3 linked regions of the Tamandua tetradactyla genome follow. Each later gene encodes a partner of the first gene's protein in a complex. Links are inferred from orthologs where the notes say so. Each region holds a gene or a part of one and is shown on either strand. Other genes may lie near its edges.

Evidence for each region. Proteins that work in one complex are often made in the same cells at the same time.
Region 2: the proteins of GNAO1 (region 1) and GALR1 are in contact, whole or in part, in a cryo-EM structure (PDB 7XJJ), measured with the Homo sapiens proteins. The link is inferred for Tamandua tetradactyla from reciprocal best matches to the Homo sapiens genes GNAO1 and GALR1. Residues at the interface, in NP_066268.1 of Homo sapiens: Ser264, Asn316, Glu318, Tyr320, Asp337, Asp341, Ile343, Ile344, Ala345, Asn347, Leu348, Arg349, Gly350, Cys351, Gly352, Leu353, Tyr354; in NP_001471.2 of Homo sapiens: Thr70, Arg133, Ala136, Ile137, Ser140, Arg141, His226, Leu227, Leu231, Asn233, Ser235, Lys236, Lys237, Ser238, Ala240, Ser241, Lys244, Thr245, Thr248, Leu306, Ser307, Glu308, Asn309.
Region 3: the proteins of GNAO1 (region 1) and CHRM2 are in contact, whole or in part, in a cryo-EM structure (PDB 7T8X), measured with the Homo sapiens proteins. The link is inferred for Tamandua tetradactyla from reciprocal best matches to the Homo sapiens genes GNAO1 and CHRM2. Residues at the interface, in NP_066268.1 of Homo sapiens: Lys24, Ile28, Ala31, Lys32, Leu195, Tyr320, Asp337, Ala338, Thr340, Asp341, Ile343, Ala345, Asn347, Leu348, Gly350, Cys351, Gly352, Leu353, Tyr354; in NP_000730.1 of Homo sapiens: Asn58, Arg121, Cys124, Val125, Pro128, Leu129, Thr130, Pro132, Val133, Lys134, Thr136, Ile209, Ser213, Lys214, Ser215, Arg216, Ile217, Arg381, Lys384, Val385, Thr388, Ile389, Cys443.

Annotation. Positions count from the first base shown.
Region 1 is NC_135342.1:49,862,956-49,870,854, reverse strand, and holds the start of GNAO1 (guanine nucleotide-binding protein G(o) subunit alpha), read right to left. Parts: upstream 3,011-7,899; 5' UTR 2,496-3,010; coding exon 2,378-2,495; intron 2,296-2,377; exon of another isoform or gene 2,159-2,295; coding exon 2,116-2,158; intron 1,975-2,115; exon of another isoform or gene 1,889-1,974; coding exon of another isoform or gene 1,848-1,888; intron 1-1,847. UniProt on the Homo sapiens protein: Guanine nucleotide-binding proteins (G proteins) function as transducers downstream of G protein-coupled receptors (GPCRs) in numerous signaling cascades.
Region 2 is NC_135344.1:5,348,234-5,355,065, forward strand, and holds the start of GALR1 (galanin receptor type 1), read right to left. Parts: upstream 3,008-6,832; coding exon 2,342-3,007; intron 1-2,341. UniProt on the Homo sapiens protein: Receptor for the hormone galanin. The activity of this receptor is mediated by G proteins that inhibit adenylate cyclase activity.
Region 3 is NC_135327.1:179,711,386-179,719,018, forward strand, and holds the start of CHRM2 (muscarinic acetylcholine receptor M2), read left to right. Parts: upstream 1-4,626; 5' UTR 4,627-4,974; intron 4,975-5,088; exon of another isoform or gene 5,089-5,156; intron 5,157-5,237; 5' UTR 5,238-5,384; intron 5,385-5,390; exon of another isoform or gene 5,391-7,467; intron 7,468-7,633. UniProt on the Homo sapiens protein: The muscarinic acetylcholine receptor mediates various cellular responses, including inhibition of adenylate cyclase, breakdown of phosphoinositides and modulation of potassium channels through the action of G proteins.

The DNA of each region.
Region 1 (7,899 bases):
TTTAAACGTTTTATTAAATCAACCTAATTTATGGGCATGTTCAGGGAGTGCAGGTAACGTGTTGCTTTAGAATACAAAGTTAATTTCCAGACTCTGGCATAGCCCTCTTCCCTCCCGGATCTTCCCACGAGCGTTTCCGAATGCCTTCGGATCCTCCGAAGCGGTTCCGAACACTGCCGAGTCCCTCCGAGCCCCGCGCCCAGCCCGTGCCGAGCCGAGCCGAGCCCCATCGACTTTTCCGGCCTCGGCTGGGCGCTGTCCACCACTCGCAACGCCTGAAAACCTCACCCAACCCCGGTGGCTGGGGTTTCTAGCGAGCTCTCAGCCCGCCACTGCAGATTACAGACCTCTGAAGTTTTGAAACATACCCCCTCAGGAGAAGGGGGTGACGCTGCTTGCCTTTACCAACCTGCAAGGGCTCCAGGCAGGTGCAACCTGCACCTTGCTGCAAGGAGCAATTCCCCAGGACCCGCATCCCCATCCATTCGGGTTGCACAAGCTCCAGAGAAGCCCCAGGCCAAATTATCCGTGGCTCAAAGAGGTGCTGAGAGCAGAGGGGCCTCTGAGAAGAAATCCCCAGGGAGCTCTCGAACAAAAATAAGAACATGTCAAGCAGATGGGGAAAATTGTCTCCGAGTCGCTACTCCCTAGCATCATGGCGCCGCCTAGAACCCGCTTGTCATGCCTGTTACACATGCAAAATTTTTTTTGCATCTTGTTTCTTCTAAAACCGCAAGCATGTTTCGTTTCCCACCCACCTTCCCACGAAAGTGGTTTTTATTTTCCATTGTTTTCCTACGGGATGCAATTACTTCGGCTATCCTGTCAAGTTGAAAAATAATCATTTTTGTTTACTGCACAGCAACCCCTAATTAGGAGTCGTGTGTGCGCGAAGGTGTCATAGCAAAGCGACGTGGAATCCTCGCTAAACAGTCTTAACGAACTCCTCCGTCTCAAACTGACAGGTCAACGGAAGCAGCCGGGCCCAGAGGCCCCGAGGGCGCGCACCCCTTCCCCGCCGGTCACCCCCTCCCCAGCCAAGCAAAGCCTGTGGGTTCACCATGAACTACCGAGCGGAGGGGGCAAGAAGCGAGCCTGAGAGTGGAAAAGAGGGGCGAGGTTCCTTATTGAGAAAGTGTGGAAGAGAAGGAATATCCCATTTGTTTTAATTTTCAACCATCACTCAAATCCACTCCCAGTTAATTGGGGGGGGGGGAACTGATATCTAAGGCAAAAGGGGGCGGCAGCATGTGGGGACTGAAATCCGCATTGTGGGTAGATTACATGGAACACGGCCTATGCAGAGTGTAAATAAATACACTGATAAAGGCCATGGAGTGAACGAAAACTACCGGTGTCAGGAGAGCAAACGCTGGGAGGATGGGGGCGGAAAGGGGCCAGGGGCAACAAGGAGGCGGGCTTTAAGTCTCACAGCCAGTGCCCCCCTTTCACCTCAGCGTTGGATACAGCTGTGCCAGTCACATCCGCCTGGAAATCCACCTCCTTCCCCCAATACACGCCCCCTCCCCTAACCCTAACCTCGCCCTATTTGGGGGGGAGGGGTAGAGAGAGAAGCAGAAACCATAGTCTCTAATTCAGCACCAAATCCATGAACAGCAGACACTGGATTCTCCAACCCAGTATAGGGCTGGGTCCCCTTCATGTTTTAGCCAAGTTCAAAATCACTGCCCCAGGAGAAGAGCACGGGGAAGTGGGGTTATGGATGCTGAAAGGGGCGGGGGTTGGGCGGTTTAGAGACAGAACGAAACAGAGACAGAGAGACAGAAATGAAGGCAGCGAGACATACCAAATACCCCCACGAGAAGGAGTAATGATCATAATCATACCAATAGTGTGATGGTCTGATCAATATGGCGGACACCGTCATTCATACAACTAGAGGCGCTCCCCTCCCCCCTCCCCCCAAAAAAACCATCCACCCCGGGAGTTGGGGTGGAGGACCCAAACCAACGTAGGGCGTGGGGGAGGGGAGTCAAATTGAAGTGTGTGTACAAATTCAAAATCAGGCCTGGAGAGCAACGGGCAGTGAGCAAGGTAATATGATAAAAAAAAAATTCTTAATAAAAGTACAAATCCCAATGCCACAGGACTTACTTCATCTGCTTCACAATCGTGCTTTTTCCTGATTCTCCAGCCCCTGTTGGGACACAGACAGGGGGGGAAAAACTGGTGAGTGTCAGCTTAGGGAACCAGGGAAAACAGAGGGGTAAGGCATGCAAGCGGGTGGGCGACCCTGGGCACATGGTGGTGACAATTCGGGACCAGGTCTCCCTGGGGGCGGGTGGAGTGGGGGAGGTGGAGTGCGGAGTGGCCGGGGTCGGGGGTGGGGGGCGGGGGTGGCAGCCGCGGGCCTTACCCAGCAGGAGTAATTTCACGTCTTTGGCGGCGCTGATGCCATCCTCTTTGAGGTTTTTCTCAATCGCCTTGCTCCGCTCGAGGGCGGCTCTCTCTTCTGCGCTCAGAGTACATCCCATGGTGGCCCCTTCCCTGCCACAGCCCGCACGACTCGCCTGGCACGGCTCTCCGGCTCGGCGCGCCCCCCACCCCCCCCCCAGAGAGCAGAGTCTGGTTCAAACGGGATAAAATCACGATATCCTTCCCTTGGCTGAAAACAAAAATGTCGAGAAACCAGGACCCCCCCAAAAGACAGCCGCTAACAAAATTCCAGTAGCGGAGACTCGCGGCAGCTGGCGGGAGTCTGGGGGTGTCGAGACGAGGGTTGCCGGGGTCTGGGGCTCCGGAGCCGAAGGAGGAGGCGCCCGGGGGCCGGGAAGGCGCGGGCTGCAGGCACTGAGGCTTGTGCACGACCCAAAATAAATAAAATAGTCGAGGCTGGAGTCGCCACGGGAGCCGGTGGAGGGTGGGGTGGGGGGCAGGGTGGGTCCTTCTGCCGCTGCTGCCGGAGGAGGAGGAGGAGGCGGCGGCGATGGCGCGGGGTGTGGAGGGAGTGAGTTAGGGGTGCCGCTAGTGCATGTGCATCGCCGGTCCTCAGCCGTGGGTGCGTCCGCGGCGCCTTCGCCGACCCCCGCGCGCTGGGCAGGGCCAGGCAGGGGGCCGGGCCGAGGGCAGGTCTCTAACAGGCGGCAGCGGCTGTGGCGCTGCCTCCCAGAGCTCGCATCGCTCGGTGGAGCCCACCGGAGAGAGAGGGAGAGCGCAAGGGAGCGGCGGCCAGCCCCGGCTCGAGGAGGAGAGAGAAAGAGAGACAGGGAGAGGTGAAGAGGGAGGGGGAAAAAAATGAAGGGGGAACGAGAGCGCGCGCCAGAGTCCGGGCGGAGGGGGGCGGTGGCGAGCTCCGCGCGCGAGTGCGCCAGCGGCTCTGCGCACCCCGCACCGCTAGCCGCCGGCTGACGTCAGCAGAGCCGCGCGCCGGGCTCCCGGGACCGGGAAGGGAGGGGACAGTGGGAAACGCGCGCGTCGGGCCTCGCGTTAGCTCGCGGTGGCGCGCGCGCGCGCGCCGCGCGGCCTCTCCTCCCCCAGCGCCCTCCGGGCCCGCGACTCCCCGGGGTGGGAGGCTGGCGAGGGCGGGGCCTAGGGCTGGGCGTGCGCGCTGCGGAGCCCCGCCCTCCTCCCCGCCCCGCGCGCGGACTGCGCGGGTCTCCTGGTCAATGGGAGCGCTGGGCTGAGCGGCCCGCGCCAAGGTGAGGCGCGCTCCTGGCCTTTCCCCAGCCCGCGCCCCACGCGGCCTCTCCCTCTCCCGCTTCCTCTCCATCTTGTCTCCAGCAACTCGCTTTCTTGGTTGGTGTCCCGCTGCTGGGGCCATAACAGCCGAGGCTGGGTTACCTCGTCAAACGTGAGGAGTTAGTGGGTCTGAATAAACCCCGCGTTCCTGGATAATTCGCCTCAACCGTCCGGCGCACTGGGGCTAGTTAGGAATTCTCGTCTTCTGCGTTCTACAGACATTTATTGAGCACCTAGTATGTGAGAGACGAGGCCCTGAGGAGAGGAAGACGACAGGATGTGACCGCCAGGGCCTGCCCTCAAGGAGTTGCTGCCTCCCTTTGCAGTGATTGACTCCGTTCCAGGATTCCCGGCCGTTGACCAATGCAGGGGACAGTTCCCCCCCACCCTCGGGAAGCTTTGGTGTAGAGAGGGGAGGGACAGATTTTAATGCGATGGTGAGCTTCGCGCCAGTGCTTGCACCCTGAACAGTTTAAAGACTTCTGCACCGTTTGGATGGTTGAGGTTTTCTATACAGAATTAACTTATCCTGTCCCTTACCCAAACACAAACACATAAGATGAACTTTGAATAGGTTTTTGGTAGGAGAAGTTTTCTTCTTTTAAAACTTTTTTTTCTCTCCCCCATCTCTCTTCCACTAGAGAGACCCAGAAATCTGGGTCAGTCACTGACTGTGCAGCTAATCAAATACTGAGGAAACACAAATTTGTCATGGATCTATTCTGGGTGGTCTCTGAGATTTTGAAGCTGTGAATTCTTACTGCACAAAATGGGTTTTTATTTTTGTTTTGTTTTGTTTTTTCACAAAATGGTTTTACAGTCAGTTCACCAGACAGCCCCAGGGGCCCTGCTAGAGAAGGGGGCCAACGGAAAAGTATGCATGGAGCTGAGAGGCCAGCGCCTGTGGGAAGCATTTTTCTAACAGTTGGGGATTTTTTGTGGCTCTGAAAACAAACATGTTTCATTTCAACAATAGAAGAAGAAAAAAGTTCTGTTCTGAAAATGTTACCTTTCCTAAAAATATATTTGCAATGGGGGAAAAGGTAGTTAAGGCCCACCCAGAAGAAACCTTTCTCCCCTGAAATATTTTATTCTTTATTTCCCAATATGAGTTTACCCCCTTGTACAAATAGCTTTATTTTTCCAAAGTTGCATGTAACGTAATTTAAAGTATTTAAAGTTGAATCACATTTTAAACATATTCTAAAGGAAACTGACAAAGGAATCCTGTAAAGAGCTGTTTTATAAAATAAGTAATTGCCTTCCTATCCCTTCTTCCCTACCTCTTTTTGTGTGGATGGGGATGGGAGGACAGGGGATAAATCTGATTTGCTTAAAATCAGGGTTTCCCTAAAAAATCAGCCTTCCAAATCCAGGTCAAAGAGCCCAACATGCAGCAGAATTTGCTACTTCCTCTATAGATTGCTTGGACAATTATGCAGATCTATTAGAGCTAGGGAAAGAAAAATATGGTAGCCTCACCCATGTTTTGCTATCCTTGCAAGGATACATCAGAAAGACTGAAGAGGCAAGAATATAACTATTGTATTGCAGCCTGCTGGTCACTTTTTACATTTTAATGCTTTTTCGTATCAAGTACTTCTTAATTTAAGATCTTAGGCTCATAAGGCATTCTGGTTTGTGTATTGAGTCAAACTATCCTTGACTTTAGGTTAAATTTATTCCTTCTTGGCATCACACCTTATATGGTGAAAGCACAAACTTGTGTTTTGTGTTTTTCTTTACTCAATACTCATTAAGCCCCTACCAACTAGGTACAAGGTAATGGTCTAGGTACTATAGAAATTATAGTTCAGGTTTGTCTACCCTGTTTCTTTTGCTGGGTCACTTTGTGTTTTTGTAGCTAGGCTTCATCAGAGACTAATAATAATCTGCTTTGTCCCTATAGTGCTTTACAGTCTACAGAACACTTTTACAAAAATTATCTCATGTGTTCCTCCCAAATAAACCTCAAATAGGTGCTGTGATATGGAAAGCATCAAGACTTAGTGAAAAGAACCTGGGCCATGGATCCAAATAGGCTTGGGTACCCATTTTACAGCCGAGGAAGCATCTGAGGGGTTGAATGACTTGTTCAAGGTCACAAAGTTATTAAATAGTAAGCCAGTGCTCGTTGTATAGGTCTCTGCACTATTTGAGAAATAGCATGTAATATAAAAATATAAATTAAGCTTCCTAGACTTAAAGAAAGCTTACAACCCCTGAACCTAATCATATTCTGGTTCCTCCAAAGAGTGAGGATGAGAACATCACCGTTCTCTGTGAGTTATTAGTATTTAGGAACTATTACAGCTGTTTAATTTGTCCACTAATTAATTCCTATGGGAATGGAGAAATTAAAATTCTAACACAAGGAATGGGGGATGCTTAGACCAGGGGCAGATTTCATTTAGTTTGATTTTATATGATTCCCAGAATTATATTTCTCTGATTATTACTGTTGGTCAGAGAATAACTCTCATTACTACATCCTTAATTAACCATCTCCCTTGCCACATACACACACACACACTGTTCTGCATATATTTAGTTTTAAATGTTAGTAATTAGAATTTTTAATATACTCTCTGAAAGGAACAACAAGGCTTACACTAAAGTCTTTTTTTTTAATTTTTAATTTTTATTTTTTCACTACAGGTGGCTCCTAATTCTGGAGAACAGTAATTCATGTTATAAGCAGTTTCCCAGCTCTAGCTTACATATGGGCTCTGATTAGATGAACTGAATTACTGTATTTCTTATGTTTAAATTATTCATTCAATTAGATATGCACTTATTGACAATCTACTATGTTTAATATTTTGATTTAGACTCAGAAGAAGGTTCTGATATAATATCTTAAATCTCTCGAAGACTTTCTCAAAAACATTCTCATCAGAATCAGCTGGGATGATTGTTAAAAATTCAGATACCCAGGTCCTGCCTCTCTTCTACCAAGTCAGACTCTTTGTAATCTGCATTGATAGCCACTCCCCAGGAGATTCTTCAGTACGCAGAGTGCTAGGTCTTATACAGAATCTGCACGTGCCAATGAATTCTGCTAGAGGCTTACTTTCTTAAAGTCCAGGAATCTCCCTTGTTTCCTAATCCTTCAGCTTTTCTTCCTGTTTACTGGTTTGTTTGTTTTTGTCAAAGGAAAAAAAATATGGAAATCACCTAATCAAAATGTACCACCCACAATTGGGTGGGTCACATCTCCATGGATACAATACAAAAGATCCTGCACAGCAATATTGAATGAGGATTAAAGAACATGGCTTTTCTGGGGTATACAACAGTTTTAAACTGCCACATTATTCTTTATGAACTCTATTGTCACTGGAAGAAAATAGGCTAAAATGAGTGGGTCATGATCTAAATGAAACCAAACTAAACGTTAAGTGAATTAGGCATTTTAGGGAGGATAGTAGATCATTAGAGATTTGAGGTTGCTCCACTAAGGGTTTTACTATAAAACTGATAGCTCATAATCTGATTTAGTAGTGAACATAGTTTATAAGAATGTATGGATACAGCTAAGTTTCTGATAAATATTTGTTTATTTAGTTTCTGATAAATATTTGGGATTAATAATAGGAGGTACTGTTCAATGTTTTTTGTATCCTTAGAAGACTGGCCCTCTAGCCCATATTCAGCACTTTCCGGACTAATATTATTTTGTGCACATTTCTCAGACCTACCAGAGCAATGGGTCTCAACTGTTACTATGCATAAGAATGCTTTTTTAATTGCAGATGCTTTTTTAATTGCAGATTCCTGGGTCCCATCTTAGAATTTCTGAATCAGTAAGTCTTAGGTAAAGCCTGGGAGTCTTCATTTGCACAATCATAGTATTCCCTCTCCCCCAATGATAGTATTGTACTGTAGGAAACACTTCACTGGACTGTAAACTCATCTGAGGTGACAGAGTTGTCTTTTCTCTTTGCGTATATCCCAAAATGTTAAGCATGGCCCACCGTCCACCAGATCATCAATTTGAGTATTTGCTAACTAAATTCATCTGTCTTTAGGTGTTTCTGTTTGCTAAAGAAGCTGGAAATATATATATATATATTGGCTTTTATAAAGAGGATTTATTAAAAGTTACAATTCTAAGGCCAAAAAATGTCCAAATTAAGGCACCCAGTAAGAGGATACCTTCTGGAAGAAAGGCTGATTTTCTCTGTCTGGGTTTCTCTG
Region 2 (6,832 bases), on another chromosome or scaffold:
AGCTATTACAGTGAATAGGGACTGACTAAATTTTGAGAACCAGTTTTAAACTTTTTCCCATGTGCAACATTTGTAAACTCCCAAATGATGGAAATGTAGCCCATTTACTCCTTCAAGTTTCCCTCGTCAGCCCCATTGAGGAGACTTGAAGTTGTCATCCTTAAAGACATTTTGGGCTAAACAGGAAGAGGACGCTTCGGTTCTCATCCAGGTGATTATGAATTCAAAAGCCAAACTTGTTAAAGAACCATCTGGTCCCAAACTGACAGCATGGAACACCTGGACTCTTCTCACACACTCAGGGCCCTCCCCAAGGGGCCCTCCTGCAGGGGACTCAGAATCCCTGGGTTAGAGTCTCTCCTGAATGGGGCTGAAAGGAGTGGTATAGAGTCACAGATGGCACGAGAAGGAGAAGGAGAGGATAAGACATAGGAACAGGTAACACAGTGACTCTTGTGCTGACAATGACCGTGATTAACTGTACAAATATAAAAAACTTCTTTCATGAACCGGAACGGACACACAACACTCTCACAGGGAGTTGATAGTGGAGTGGTGTAAGGGAAAAACGTACCTATTGTGAACTGTGGACTATCCTTAACAGCGATATCTTTATATTCTTTCATCAACAGTAACACATGTCGTGTACCGATACTAGGGCTCAACAATGGGAGGGGGGGATAAAGGGTATAGGATATAAAAGTTTTCTTTTATATTTTATATATTTTTTATTTTTTGGAATAATGAAAATGTTCTAAAATTGATTGTGGTGATGAATGCACAACTATGTGATGACACTGTGAGCCACTGATTGTACACTTTGGCTGGATTACGTGGTGTGTGAATATAACTCAATGGCATTAAAAAGTCTTCCCTGACCCATTCAGTTGTGGCATAATCTTGAAACAGTTACTTCATTCCTCTGAACTCAGTTTCCTTGTCCTTAAAATAGGGGCCACCGCCCACCCCTAAGGCTGGTGTGCAGATTAAATGAGATCACGTTGTGTGGCAGGGGGACGGTGACTGCCCTGGGTGAAGCTAACCTTTCTTTGGTATTTGCAGGTAACTAGGTGTGTCATCTTCCAAATAACTAACCTAGAGTTATTTTCTAAATCCTCTAATTCTTTCGATCTAACCCTTTGAATTGTTTCAGATCATTTCCAAAAGTATTACCATTCAAAAAGAGACACTATACATACATGATATAGAAAACTCAGATGGCTTAAGCACTTGTCAGGAAAAAAACTACTTTATGAATAGAAGATATTGTTGCTTCTCACATCTTCCAATTATCCACTGCCCGAAAGGCAAAAACCTTTTCAGAAGGAGAGCAGGGGCAGAGAGAGGGGGCTGAAGGAAAGCCGACAGGAATTTCTGAATTTGGTTAAGAAGGAGTTTGTCTGATGGTGATGAAAAGGCAGGAGAGAGTATGTTGGGGGTCAGAGTTCACTCCAAAAATCACGTCCCAGGCCATTAAATATGTAGTGTGTTAACTCCAGTGTGGCCAGCTGTGTCAAAAGGTTTCACTTTTTGATCAGGATAAAATCTTCAAAACCGTGTGCTACTAGTGAAAGAGCATCGCGGGAGGATGAGAACCGCCTTGCAGTAAGGAAGAAACCTCAGCTGAAATCACACCCCGTCGGGGGTGCCTTCCCCGAGTTCGCCTATTGTGGCCCCAATCACTGAACACTGTCCCCACAACCTTCCTAAAAGGGACGCAAATAGAGAAACACAACAGCTCCAGCTTCTTTCCACCCAGAGTTCACTGGAGACTCCAATGAAGACTGTGAAGAAATATTGTTTTACCCCTCGGGCTTTTAGACTTAGCCTCCTGCGTTCACAAGGCGCCCTGGCGCAGCCCGGGGAGCGCGCGCAGCGGGGTCCCTCCCGCCCAGCCGGAGGCCGCGGCCAGGACCCACAGAGCGCTCCCTAGGGCTCCCCCAGCCCCGCGCCCTCCTTCCATCGCGCAGGCAGACGTGCGCGAAGAGTCGCTAAAGCAGAGCAGGGTTTTCACCCAGCCCAGGAACCCGCGGTGGGTGCGCGCCGGCCGCCCCGGGCCACCTCGGGGCGTCAGGGCTGCGCTGCGCTCCTCCGGGGAGCGAGGCAGGGAAAGCTGCTCTCCTGCACATCTGGGAAGTGGACTGTAAACTTTCGCCAGAATTTCTCAAACTCCAAGCACCCTTCCTGGACAACCGCAGACGGGCAAGCCCAAGAAGAAGCAAGGGCAAGCTGGAGTGGAAAAAGTTCTCCTGCAAGCCAGCCCAGGCCGGGCCACACAGCCACCGCACAGGCTCCCTCCTCCCTCCCTCCCTCCCCGCGCCCCGCGCCCCGCGCCCCCCACCTTGGCGTAGCAGAAGCAGATGAGCAGCAGCGGCAGCAGGTAGCCGAACACGAAGGTGCACACCACGTAGGCCTTCTTGTGGCGCTCGTTGGGCCACAGCTCCCAGCAGAAGGTCTGGTTGCTGATGTCGCGGTGGAAGAGGCGCTGGTGGTAGGCGACCGGCGAGGCCATGGCGATGGACAGCGCCCAAATGAGGCCCACGCCCAGCAGCGCGTTGCGGGACACCCGCAGCGAGGAGGAGCGCCGCGAGTGCACGATGGCCACGTAGCGGTCCACCGACATCGCGGCCAGGGTGAAGATGCTGACCAGCATGGACACGGTGAAGAAGTAGTGGGTGAACTTGCAGATGAAGGCGCCCAGCACCCAGGTGGGCAGGGCGTACACCGTGGCCTGGAAGGGAATGCAGAAGAGCAGGTAGGCCAGGTCGGCGATGCTCAGGTTGAGGATGAACAGGTTGGTGGTGCTGCGCGGCTTGCCCGGCTTGCTGCGCGCCAGGACGGTGATCACCAGGCTGTTGCCCAGCACGCCCAGCGCGAAGATGAGGCCGAACACCACGAGCGTGACGAAGTTCTCTGCGCCTATGCCGAACAGCGGCCTCCGCTCGGCGCCGCCAGGCTCGGCCCCCGACGCGTTTCCCTCGCTCAGGTTCCCCGCCGCCAGCTCCATGGCCCCGCGGGTGCGCCCCGCAGAGCCTCCCGATGAGCCGAGCGGCGGGAAGGGCCCGGGGCGACCGTGCCGGATGGCACGGTCTCTGCGGTGGGGCGGGCGCGGGAGGCGGACCTCGCGGGGCGCGGGCGGCGCTGGGGGAGCGCCAGGCGACCTCTGCCTCCGCGCCTTCGCCTGCTGCGCGGCCACCGAGCGGCGGACGCGGAGGGACTCGGCACTCAGTCGCGGAGAAGAGAGACCCCGGGTGGCCTTGCCGCCCCCAGAACCTGGCTGCCGGTGGTCCCTCGCTCCGAGAGTGACTTCGGGTTGCACCTGTTGCTTCCAGCCTCTGGGCTGGCCGGGCGCGGGCGCCTCGCGGGCGGTCAGCTGGGCACCCGGCGGCAGGGCGCAGGGAGCTCGGTGCTGTCAGCGCCCGGGCGCTGCCACCTCCCGGCGGTCAGCTGCTCCTCTCCCCTCTCGGTTCTTGCAGAGATGGGAAGTAGTCGCGGGGCTAGCGCGCTCTTTCTGCGGCTTCCCGGCGGCTGGCGGTCGGGTGCTCTCTGCTGCCACTGGGAGAGGTAGTGATAACTCAGCCCATTTCAGTCCGTGCGCCCTGGGTGCCTCCCACGTCCCCGGGAAGTCACAGCGCGCGAGCGGAGACTGGACGAATTCTAATGGGGTGGGTCGCCGCCCACCTCCTGCCCGGGAAGGGCCGCGCGTTCCTCCGCTAGGCGAGCCCGTGCCTGGGTCTCTTCCTGCTTCAGTTACCGGCCCCAGTGGGCCCGGGCGCGCTCCGCAGACCTTCCCGATCCGAGGGTTTTGTTCACACTGCTCGCTCGGGGGTGGCCCGCAGTGGGAGTGCCTCCTGCCCCGGGGTTGGTCGGGTTCGTGTGCCAAAAGGAAATGCCCCTGGCACTGCCGGCTGGAATTTTGCAAAAATCGCTGCCTAGTCTCCAACACTGTGCAGCTCACAGCCAGGGAGGAAATAGGCACGGAAGAAAAACGGTCAGGAGGTCTGAGTTGTCTTTTTAAACGTGTATGAGAAGATTAAAGAGGAAGGAGCTGTTCGCATCACTCAACTTTAAATCATTTTTGCCTTATGTTATTCATCTGAGCGACAAACAGAAGTTCCAACATATGCAATATTTGTCAAGTGAGAAAACGTGTTTACTATCTCACAACTGCTATAAAATGTGAATATGCCCACAAGAAATGAGCCGTTTGAGCAGTGTTAGTAAACATCAGCCTTGATTGTAAATCTCAGGAGTTCCCAACTAGAGACCTGAAATGGATTCATTTATTTGCAGAGTTTATGCGATTTGTCTATAGTGACTTTCATAAACCCCAGTGCGTTTCTGGCAGTCCCCAAATGGTTAATGAGTACCCATTACATGCCAGACCCTCTGCTTAAGGAAAAGGGTAATGCAAAGATGAATAGGATGCAATGTTTCCTGGAGTTGTTCTCTGTCTGGTAGGAGACGGGGAATGAGATACACAGCGGGGCCTGGACTGTAATAAAAGTGTGGAAAAGATGATGCAGCAGCACGCCTTGCCTTGGGGAGTCTGGGAGGCAAGCAGTGCCTCACTTCACTTTCCATCTAACTGTGCTCTGCCACATTCCAGGAACATTTTCATGCCATGTTGGAACACTTCCTGTGTCCCAGGTGTTTTGCTGTCATTTCATTTACACACACATTCATTGCCAGAGACATACGTATTTCATTCATACTTTCTGGAAGGTGAAGTTGAGTTTAAGGAACTTGCTGGTCCAAGTGTCCCGCTACGCCTGCCGTCCCTAGCAGGATGCCTTGGAACTTCAAGTTACCTGGCCCAGCGGTGGCCTTTTCTACCCCAGGTGCTCTCTCACTTGGGCTTTCATGGTGGCCTTTTCTAGTGAGCAGCTCTCCTGCGCTGAGAGTTCTTTATCATGTGGCTGAGGGAGAGTCTCTTTTAAAATTTATTATGAGCTATTTTTGACCTGCAAAAAATATGATGAAATTATACCTAATACCCATTTACTCAACACCTGGCTTAAAATAAAGTACCAAGAGAGTTGAAGTAACCTTTATATACGTCCCCATCACCGCGCCTGCCCCACCTTCTCCAAGGTTGCTGCTGTCAGCCATTTGTTTACTCTTTCGTGGCACACGCAGACACCCTTAAGTGACGCGCAACGTTGCATTGCACTATTTTAATGTTATATTGCTGGCGCTATAATACATGCTTGGGTGTTATGTTTTGTTTTGCCTTAAAGGGAAATTTGCCTGAATTACTATAGATACTCTGACATTCTTTCTATTTATCTGCTGTATCTTTTTCTGTCTCCCTGTATCCTATGATTTAGGGATAGTCCTTGAAAATAGCAATAAGCATTTTGAAATACAATTTGACAGTCTGTGTTTTTAATTGGTGATCCTAGGCCGTTTTCATTTATCATGATTACTGACATACATGGATTTGTCTCTAATGTTTTGGTTTGTGTTCTCTGTTTTCTATTTCCGTCTTCTTCCCTGCCCATCCCCCTTTCGTAACAACCTTTGGATTGTGTTTTTAAGTGGTTTTTTTAATAACCCCTTCTCTGAAGTGGGTTATATAGTCTATTTTTATTCTTTTGCTGGTTCACTTGAATATCTACCATGTGTTAGAAACAATTTTAGGCTCTGGAGATAGAGCAACAAATAAAGCGAAGTCCCTTATTTCATGGAGCTTCTATTTTTATGGCGAGAAGGTATGAAAAGAATAATAAAATGATAATATGCCATGTAGTAAATACGATGAAGAAGAAAGAAAGGTAAGATAAGGGATAGACTCACTGGGCAGGGCGGGAGCGAAGCCTTTTGAATTGGAGGGTGGGCATTCCAGGGCGGGCAGCAGGGTGGGGTGCTGCAGGCAGGGACACAGGTGGCACTTGTGATGAACAAGGAGCCCACGTGGGCAGGAATGGATGAAAGGATCTACAAGCAATGAGTTCAGAAAAGATTGGGTGGGGAAAGAGGGGTTAGAGCTCAAGCCAAGGACCAGCCTTGGCTTTATCCTGAGTGGACGGATGCCAGGGGGGCGTCCCGCAGAGCCGTCACGGGGCCTGACCTGTGCTTTAGAATGACCGTTCTGGACAGTTCCTAGGCCAGGAGGGGAGCAGAGGCGAGGGCAGGAGCCAGCAGAGGCCACAGCAGGCCAGGCACGGGGTGCCGGGGGTGCCAGGGGTGCTGAGAAGAGGTTGGGTTCTGGACATTTCAGAGGCTGAGCCACTGAGATCCGCTGATGGGGTGGACTTAAGTGTGGGAGAAAGAGAAGGTAAAAGGTGACCCCCGGGTCCCAGCCTGCCAGGCTGTAGGGGTGAATCAGCTGCAGGGCTCATGGGTTCTGTTTTTAAATCTAGCAGCATTTTTTTTTAATACTTTCTCATTTGCTCATCTCTGATTACCTCTCTTGTTTACTCAAATACTTGGAGACTCTTATTTTATGTTCTAAGTATTCTAATAGCTGAATTCCTTGGGAGTCTAATGATGTGGTTCATTATTGACACTGAGGACGCGTGATTGCAGCTTGTTTCCCAGGGTTCAGTTTATTCTGGCTTTCAGAGCCTCGTTTGGCCAGCATGTATCCGAGGGAATCTTGGGAGTCCTGGGGTAAGAACCTCCAAAACTGACTGTCTTGCTTCTGCCAATGCCCACCTGACACTGCAACTCGGGAACTAAAGGTTAATCTTTAGTTCTGTGTCTCAGACTACACAGGCAATGGGGATTTAGACTCCAAGACCTACTGAGGGGGTGAACAAGTTTGCAGACAGAGTTTTCTGGAAGTCTGCCTGGAGTAGGTAGTCTTATTGCCCCAGTTATTTGCTGC
Region 3 (7,633 bases), on another chromosome or scaffold:
GTTCTGGTATCATCTGATATCAATAAAAGGAAAGCACGTTGCGTCAGTTGTGGCACTCTAAAGGTGAACTTTGAGTGATTGCTATTGAAGACACTGAGCAATTACCATTATGTGCTTGTGGACATTCTTTAAAAATTAACTCACTTTCTAGGAGAATGTTTGTCAATAAAAGCCTTGTAGGAATGTAGCACATATATTGATTTTTCCTGGGGCCTCTTCTCATTCCTTTCTGCAGAAATTTATAGGATAATGCCCAAGAATTTTTATAAATGAATCCTTTAAGCTAGATCAAATTTAGTGAGGAATCTATCCATGTCTTGGTAGCTTCCAGGATATGCTGCTTTGGAATGTGTTAGCATTTCCAGCTCTTCCTTGAAAGATCATTTTAGTTAAGATATTGGTAAGTGTGCGATCTAAGAAATTATGTGAATTCCCATGAATACATAATTAGTTCATTCTAAATTGTAAGTAAAATAGATCTCCCTACAAAGTAAAAATAAATTGTAGGTATCCCTAGACAACTTTTTTGAGCACAAGGAGTCACTGATTCAAATAATCTGGGGCCCCAAGTTTATAGAAACATCTGACAAAACTTTCACTTTGAACTTGGTAGGCCCTTATCTCTACCTCAGGGAGTCCAACATCTAACTTAGCCTTTGAGAAGGGAAAATTTAAGCTATCTGTCACAATACACTCTTAGGTAGCTGTTGCTGAAACTTTAAAGTTGACCTCATCCTATAGGTTCACTTTTGAAGTGAACTTTCCTCATAGCAGGTAGAATGCACATACACTACTTCTTTAAGTAAACAGGCACTCTGTGTGAGCTTTTCCTTAGGCATCTTAACACTGATTTATCTACATTGCAGCTGTTTAATATTTTGCAAGGCAGTGTCTTTTCTTTATACTCCCCCCCACCCTCATCTTCATATTCCCTGTTTGAAAGGGAGCTCTGTATTTTAAACATTTTAGACTCAACAGCAGTAAATGTTTTGAGGCTTCGGTTAACACCACCACTGCTAGGAAAAGAATAGTTTAAAACAGCTGTGATGCCAAACTTCAAGAAAACGGTAAAGAAAAAAAACAGAAAAGCATTGTTTGTTATGTCAGACTGTCACTAAACAGCATCCCTCAGAATCATTCCCATTTGTATATGAAAACCCCTATTGTAGGGTCTAAAAGATGAGCTTAGGATTTTCTAAGAGAAAAAAAAAGATACTCTTTTTTTATCTAAGGAATGAAGACTTTAAAATTATTCTCTGGGAAGGTTTGCAAGGAAAATAAATAACTCCGAGAAGAATAGCATGTCTATTGTGGTGCTCTTATTAGGACTTCAAAACAGTGAGGATACTGAAGTGAGGACACTGAAGAGCCCATTTTGATCAGTGATTGCCATTTAGTAGAGGTCCACTTTGACCCAGGAATGTTATATTTCAAAGAGAGGTCAAGGAAGAGAAAAAATTCCTTTGGCATACATCAGATAAATTAGCCCTCCTTTCCCAAACCTTAGGCTGATAAATGCTGTTTCTCTGATTCAATGCTTGAACAGTTTGTGTGAGAAGGAGACAAAGGGCAAGGGCAAGATCTCCTGCTCTTGGCTCATTTCCCCCTCATAGGCAAAGCCCTCAAGTTCATTTTCTAGGTTTCTTTGAAAATAGGGGAAACAATGTTATGACCACCATACCTGGTGAAAAATCACTTAAGTTGAACTTGTCACCCTCTTAATCCACTTCAGGATGACAGTAGTGCTGATTTGTGCATCTAATTGCTGAAGCGTAATTATTGCTGCACTGAAATCAACGTGGCACAATAAAATATGCACTGCATTCTCAGGAATGAGTCCTGTCATCCCTTTCACTGCACGTTAGTGGCGACCTTATTTACAGTCTTATTCAAAAGAAAGCTTTGTCAAAGATTCAAAGTCATCCCTTACAGGCATTTGGAGCTCTTCAGCACATGCCTAAAACCAGCCTTATGAGGTTGTAGGTAATGAAGTTTGACTTCACAAGTGGAAATTACTAATTTATTACAGTTCTTTGAGGTGCAAAGAAAGCATGTAGATAAAGGGAAATCCATAGACGCATTCTACAAAGTCTTTAAAAAGCATTTTTGAAAATGTTCCACACCAAAGGTTACTAATAAATGCAAAAGCTGTAGTGCTGGGATGGGAGAGTACACTTTAATCTTGGAAAATGAACTGGCTTAGGACATAAAAATAAAACGTTCAGAACATACATGATACTTTCTTATGTAGTAAAGGGAATTAGAAGGGGGAAAGGATGGGGTTTCCTGGGGTCAGTGGTATGATGTATTTCATTTAACATGCTTGTTGCATGATGTTTGCAAGCAGTGTCATTGATATTGGCAGGACTCCAGAATATGGGATTCAGTAGATCACAGGCATGGCCCAGGAGTCTGCATATTTAACCCTTTGCTGAGAAGTCTTAATTTGAGGTAATTTCCTACTTGCCAAGCACTCTTCTGTGAACTTCACATGAATTAACTCTACTATTCCACATAACAGCCCCTCTTAAGGGATATTATTATTACTATTGCTATCCCATTTTACATGCTGGGAGACTGAGGCACAAAACAGTTTAATAATTTCTCCTAAATCACAAAGCGAGTGGCACAGCTGCAAGTATGTACATAAAAATATTTTCAGTGATGACCAAGAAGAATAAAATTGACATCATTGCTGATCTTTTTGCTAAATATGCTTCTTCTGTTTGTTGTTCCTCTCCAAAAGGCTTTTTATATAGCGACTTCTAGTGAACAGATTATTTCACTTACCTATGGACTCTGTTTCATTAAGGCTAAGAAAATTGCTGTTAGTTTTCATTGACTAATTTATTGTTCTTTTATGGAATTACAGCTCTTGTCTTTAAAAAGGTATTAATAACATAAAAAGAACAAAATAGCAACAAAATGCTGGGTTTTGTGCTCTATTGCTGGTCAGAGGCCCATTTCCCTTCACCTTCTTCTTTGACGTGTGTGTGTGTGTGTGTGTGTATGCATGTTTTCAAAAAGATTCAAGCAACTACATGGATTTCTGCAAATTTAATGAACAGAAACAATAGAATAAGGAAGAAAAATATGAATTAATTTTCAAAAAATCCTCTAAGGGAGAAGAGATCATAAAATCAGATTTTTAATATAATGAACCAAATGCTGAGAGAGGCTGAGGATCAAGACTGGACAGAGCTGTCTCTTGATTTTCTAATGAGCATCTCATAATCTTCCAAAAGACTCTGGTGTATTTCATATGCCTACTTCCATTCAGGGCAATAGGGTTGGTGGGCTGTGACAGTGTGGAGGGCGAAAACTCAATGCTTGTATTTTAATGCTTTCTTTTAGGGTGATTTCAATCAAGCAGGACCAAGTGGGCATCATGTTCTACTCTGTGGTAGATATGAGTTCACAGAGAGGGCAGAAACTTTCAACTACAAAATTTCTATTCATGAATGGGATATATATTGCTTTTTAATCAATCACCTTGGTTGTCCATTGTTATATAGATGTTTCATATGTATGCCTTTCCTAGCCAATGAGACTGGAAATCATAAAGGAAAGGAGCAGTGGCTTTGCTATTCCGTATGGCCTTCAATGTCTAGTAAAAGACGGCGTGGAGAATTATATGGTATTGAATTGGACATATTAAATTAAATCGGTGGATCCTTAACTTGCTCTTTTCTGTGTCTGATACAAATTGGTGGATCCTTTACTTGCTCTTTTCTGTCTCTGATACAAGAGGCAATATATCTATTCAATTTAAAGTTCCAACTTATTGCAGAAGGTGGATGAGACAAAGTGCATATCACGTTATCATTTTTGCATACACATATACTTTCACAAAGCAAGTCTTCTCTGCAACTATACTTTAGAATCATATTATTGAACCTTTAAAATTAGAGAACTTAATCCAATTAATTAGAAGCAATTTGTGAAACAATGGGGTTAATACCTAAAAATAATGGATACTCTTCTAAGAAGGAATTTCCCTTAAAGAAATAAAGAAATAACAAATCCTAGGACTGGTGCAGACACAAAACGTTTGCATCCTGATTTTTTTTTTTCATGGAGCTCACAAGTTCCCTAAAGCACAATAAATACTCTGTACTCTAATACCTACTAATTGAAGAAAACATGAGCACTGACTCCTATGTAAAAGAAGAAAACATAATTACCTCTCCTTCTGACACCTTTGCCAATGTCCCAAAGAAACAATCCATGACTAGTTCAACCCGATTATATGTTTACAAAGCATAGTGGATTTATTCTAACATTTCCCCACCTGGAAAAACTAGGCTCAAATACCGTCCGCAATCAAAAAGCAACATCGAGTTCTTCCCGATAAGTCACGTCACCTTTCTAGCAAGCATTAACTTGCAGGAATGGGATTAGGTGGTGGTGGTAATTATACAGATTCTGAAGTAAAAATTGCAGATGGAGAATCGGTCTCTAGGATGGTCGTGGAGAGGGGCAGAAAGGAGCCTGGAGAAAAGGCCGTCATATTTGCTCAGAAGAACCGCCAAATCAGAGAGCAGAGAAGATTTCATTGGAGGAGCGCCTTCAACAGCAACTAATCCTGTCATATTGAAAGAAAATTGTAAATGTTCTCTCCAGAAATTGTCCGCCCCATTGCAGCTAATCGGACACACAAGCACGAACAACGACAGGCTCTCCTGCCATACCAAAGGCGCTTGGGCGCGGAGACCCGCTCCTGAGAGCGCGCGCGCGCGGTCACACACACACACACCCACACTCACACACTCATCCTGCGGGTTGGTCAGAGCCTTGAAATCGCACTTCCCACCTGGAAATAGCCAGGGGCGCCCGGAGAAGGTGTTGCCCCCCTCACTAATCACTACTTCCCCCAAGCACTTTGGCGAAGAAATGAATCCTGCCCAGCTCTTCGGTCCTTTCAGGTCTCGGGTCTATTTTGCTCTCCAGACTCATCTTCTACGTGAAAGCCAGGTTTGAAAGTCCGGTTGGCATCTCCTTCGGTGGTTTGGTGTGGAGGGCGGGGGCAGCGTCAATCTAACCCCAGTCATTAACCGCGAACGGGTTGCAGACTCGCCCAGTGGCTGAGACCGGAGTGGATAGCGCTACTTGCTGGCGCGCGCCCGAAACCCGCAGCTGCCCGTTTGAGCCTTTGGGTCGGTTTCCTCCCCGCCTCCCCCTGCCCCACCCCTCCGAGTGCCGCGGCACCAACTAATCTTTTCTTTTTCTCTTGCAAGATCAAGGGAGACGGCGAGCCGGCTGCTAGCTTCTGACTCCCGGCGGTGAGCCGTTCGCGCCCGACCCGGTGGGCTTTCTGCCCCTGGCAGCCTTTGCCAAAGAAATCGCAGCCAGTGGAGGCAACTAGAGCTTTAAATCTGCGGCAGGTAAGAGCAACCCTCTACCCAGTTCTCTTCTCGCTCGTGCCAGGAGCCCTGGCAGTAGCAGGGTCGCTCCCAATCCTCCTGACCGCGACGCGGAGGGGTCAGAGATTGGGGAAATTGAGGAATGTTTTTTTTTTTCAGGTGTAAATTCTCAAACGGAAACTTTGGCTCCTGGGGCTTGGTGGGCTAGAGCAGTGATGGCGGGTCTGGAAAGAAGGGGCAAATGAGGCAGTGCGCGCGGCTGGGGTCACTGCGTGCGGGCCGCGGGTCACTGAGTCCCGCGGAAAGTGGCGAAGGTTGCCTGGGAGCTGCCTCTGTCCAGATATTGCTCCCTCTTCCAGCCCGCCATCTGCTCCACCTTCACTGGACACCCTTCTACCCTCCCTCTTCCCCGAGATGCCGTCAAGGAAAAGACAAGCAGAGCTTCTCCCTCTCCCATAGCTCACGCTCCTTCCTGCCTGGGGTCTTGCTGTCCGCGTCTTGCGTGCGTTTGGGGTTGAGGCCGGGCTAGCTCCGGCTGCGCGCTGTTCCCCGGCTCCGCCTTTGGAGAAGCCCCTCGGGAGCCCTCTCTGGTTTGCTGAAGGGACGCTTGGTGCTGTGTCCCTTGAATCATGGCCAAGAGGAAGGGGTGATAAGACTAGGGAAAGGGTCCCAGGACAAGTGAGGGGGGAGTCTTCTGGAATCCAATCCCATTTTGGCCCAGCGCACGAGGTCGTGTCTACACTCAGGCTTTGGGGCAGGGTTTCAGCCCCGGAGCCCGCGAGATCTCGAACTGTGCCTGGGTTTCGCCATCCACCCCACGGTGAGCCTTGGGCCACATCCGCGGTGCCCGGTGCGGTAGATAAGGTCCCTGTGCACCCCGACTCTTCTCTGCCATCCACCTGCGGATCTGGGCGATCGCAGTTAACTTGTAGCTTGCGGAATTCGAGTCTGGCGCAGAAATCCACCTGTGCCTTCTGCCCGGAGCACTGGTGCACCCCCCCCCCCCCCACGAGTCAGAAGAAGGTTCACTTACAAGAGATCTCAGGAGGTGAAAATTTCCCCCAATTACTGACGGGGAGGTGGCAATGTATTTTCCGTCCCATTTCTGCACTCGCATCCCTTTCTCTGCCCTGGTGCCTGTTGCCGCCTTTGAGACTGCTCTGAGCCACAAAAGCCTCCAAGAGAGGGTCCCTGTGCCCCCTCCAGTGCCAGACAGTGAGAGCAAGGCACTTGCATATATGGAAATATCGGCGGGGATAGACTGTCAGTTCCCAGAGGCGGGAGGAGGGCAGAGAAATGGAAGCAAATGCTTAAAGCAAACAGAGCTTTACGCTCTCTCACCCATGACGCCCCCTGAACCCGTGTCCCTATGTCAGTTCACACCCACGGCATGGCTGTGACTGCGGCCCCAAAGGACTCCAAGTCTGTCCTCAGGCGCGGCGAGCCCAGCAAAAGCGCGGCGCCTCCAGGTCCTCAAGCTCCGGAATCCTCCACATTGACTTTCTATTTCGCGTTCTTCTTTTCTTTTCTTTTTTTTTCAGCTTTCCTTACTCTTTTTCTTAGCTCTCGGTGGCCGTGGGTAGGTGACAGTTGTGTGATTTCTCTGTTCCTCTGCTCCACGCAGCCAGGAACACAACACACATCCGCACGCTATGCTGTACTTCCCGGCTCCACGGCTGTTGGCGCCTTGTGTCGGTGGCCTCTTGGCTCCCCAGGGAGCAGCCCAGGAGACTAGGACGCCAAGTCCGGACTTAAGAAAAAAACCCTGGGTGACCAGAAAGGCCTGCGGCAAAACCTAAATTTGGGTTGGGGGTAGTCAAGAGGCTCTGGGGAAAACCGTCTGTGACACAGCAGACCTCCACCCCCACCCCCGCCATGCGGCCCTGCCAGACTTTACCCAGCGGCAAAGTCTGGATACCCTGGCCAGAGAGGAGGGGGGGGGGCGCCCTGCACTCCAATTGCGGCAATTCTGATGTCCCTGGATTAGGAGGGTTCTGAAAGTGGAGTTGCCTTGTAAACTCCCCAGTAATGAACCCGGGGTCCCGTGGCAAAGGCTGTGTATCGTATTTTACTGGCATTCGGTATATGTGAATACATTATATTGGTAAGCATATATATATATGTGTGTGTGTGTGTGTGTGTGTGTGTGTGTGTGTGTGTGTGTGTGTGTTTATATATATATACATATATAAATGAAAAGCATATATGGTAGTGTTTTGTATGTATTTATGTATATATAATACATTTTCATTGATAAACAAATTATAGGG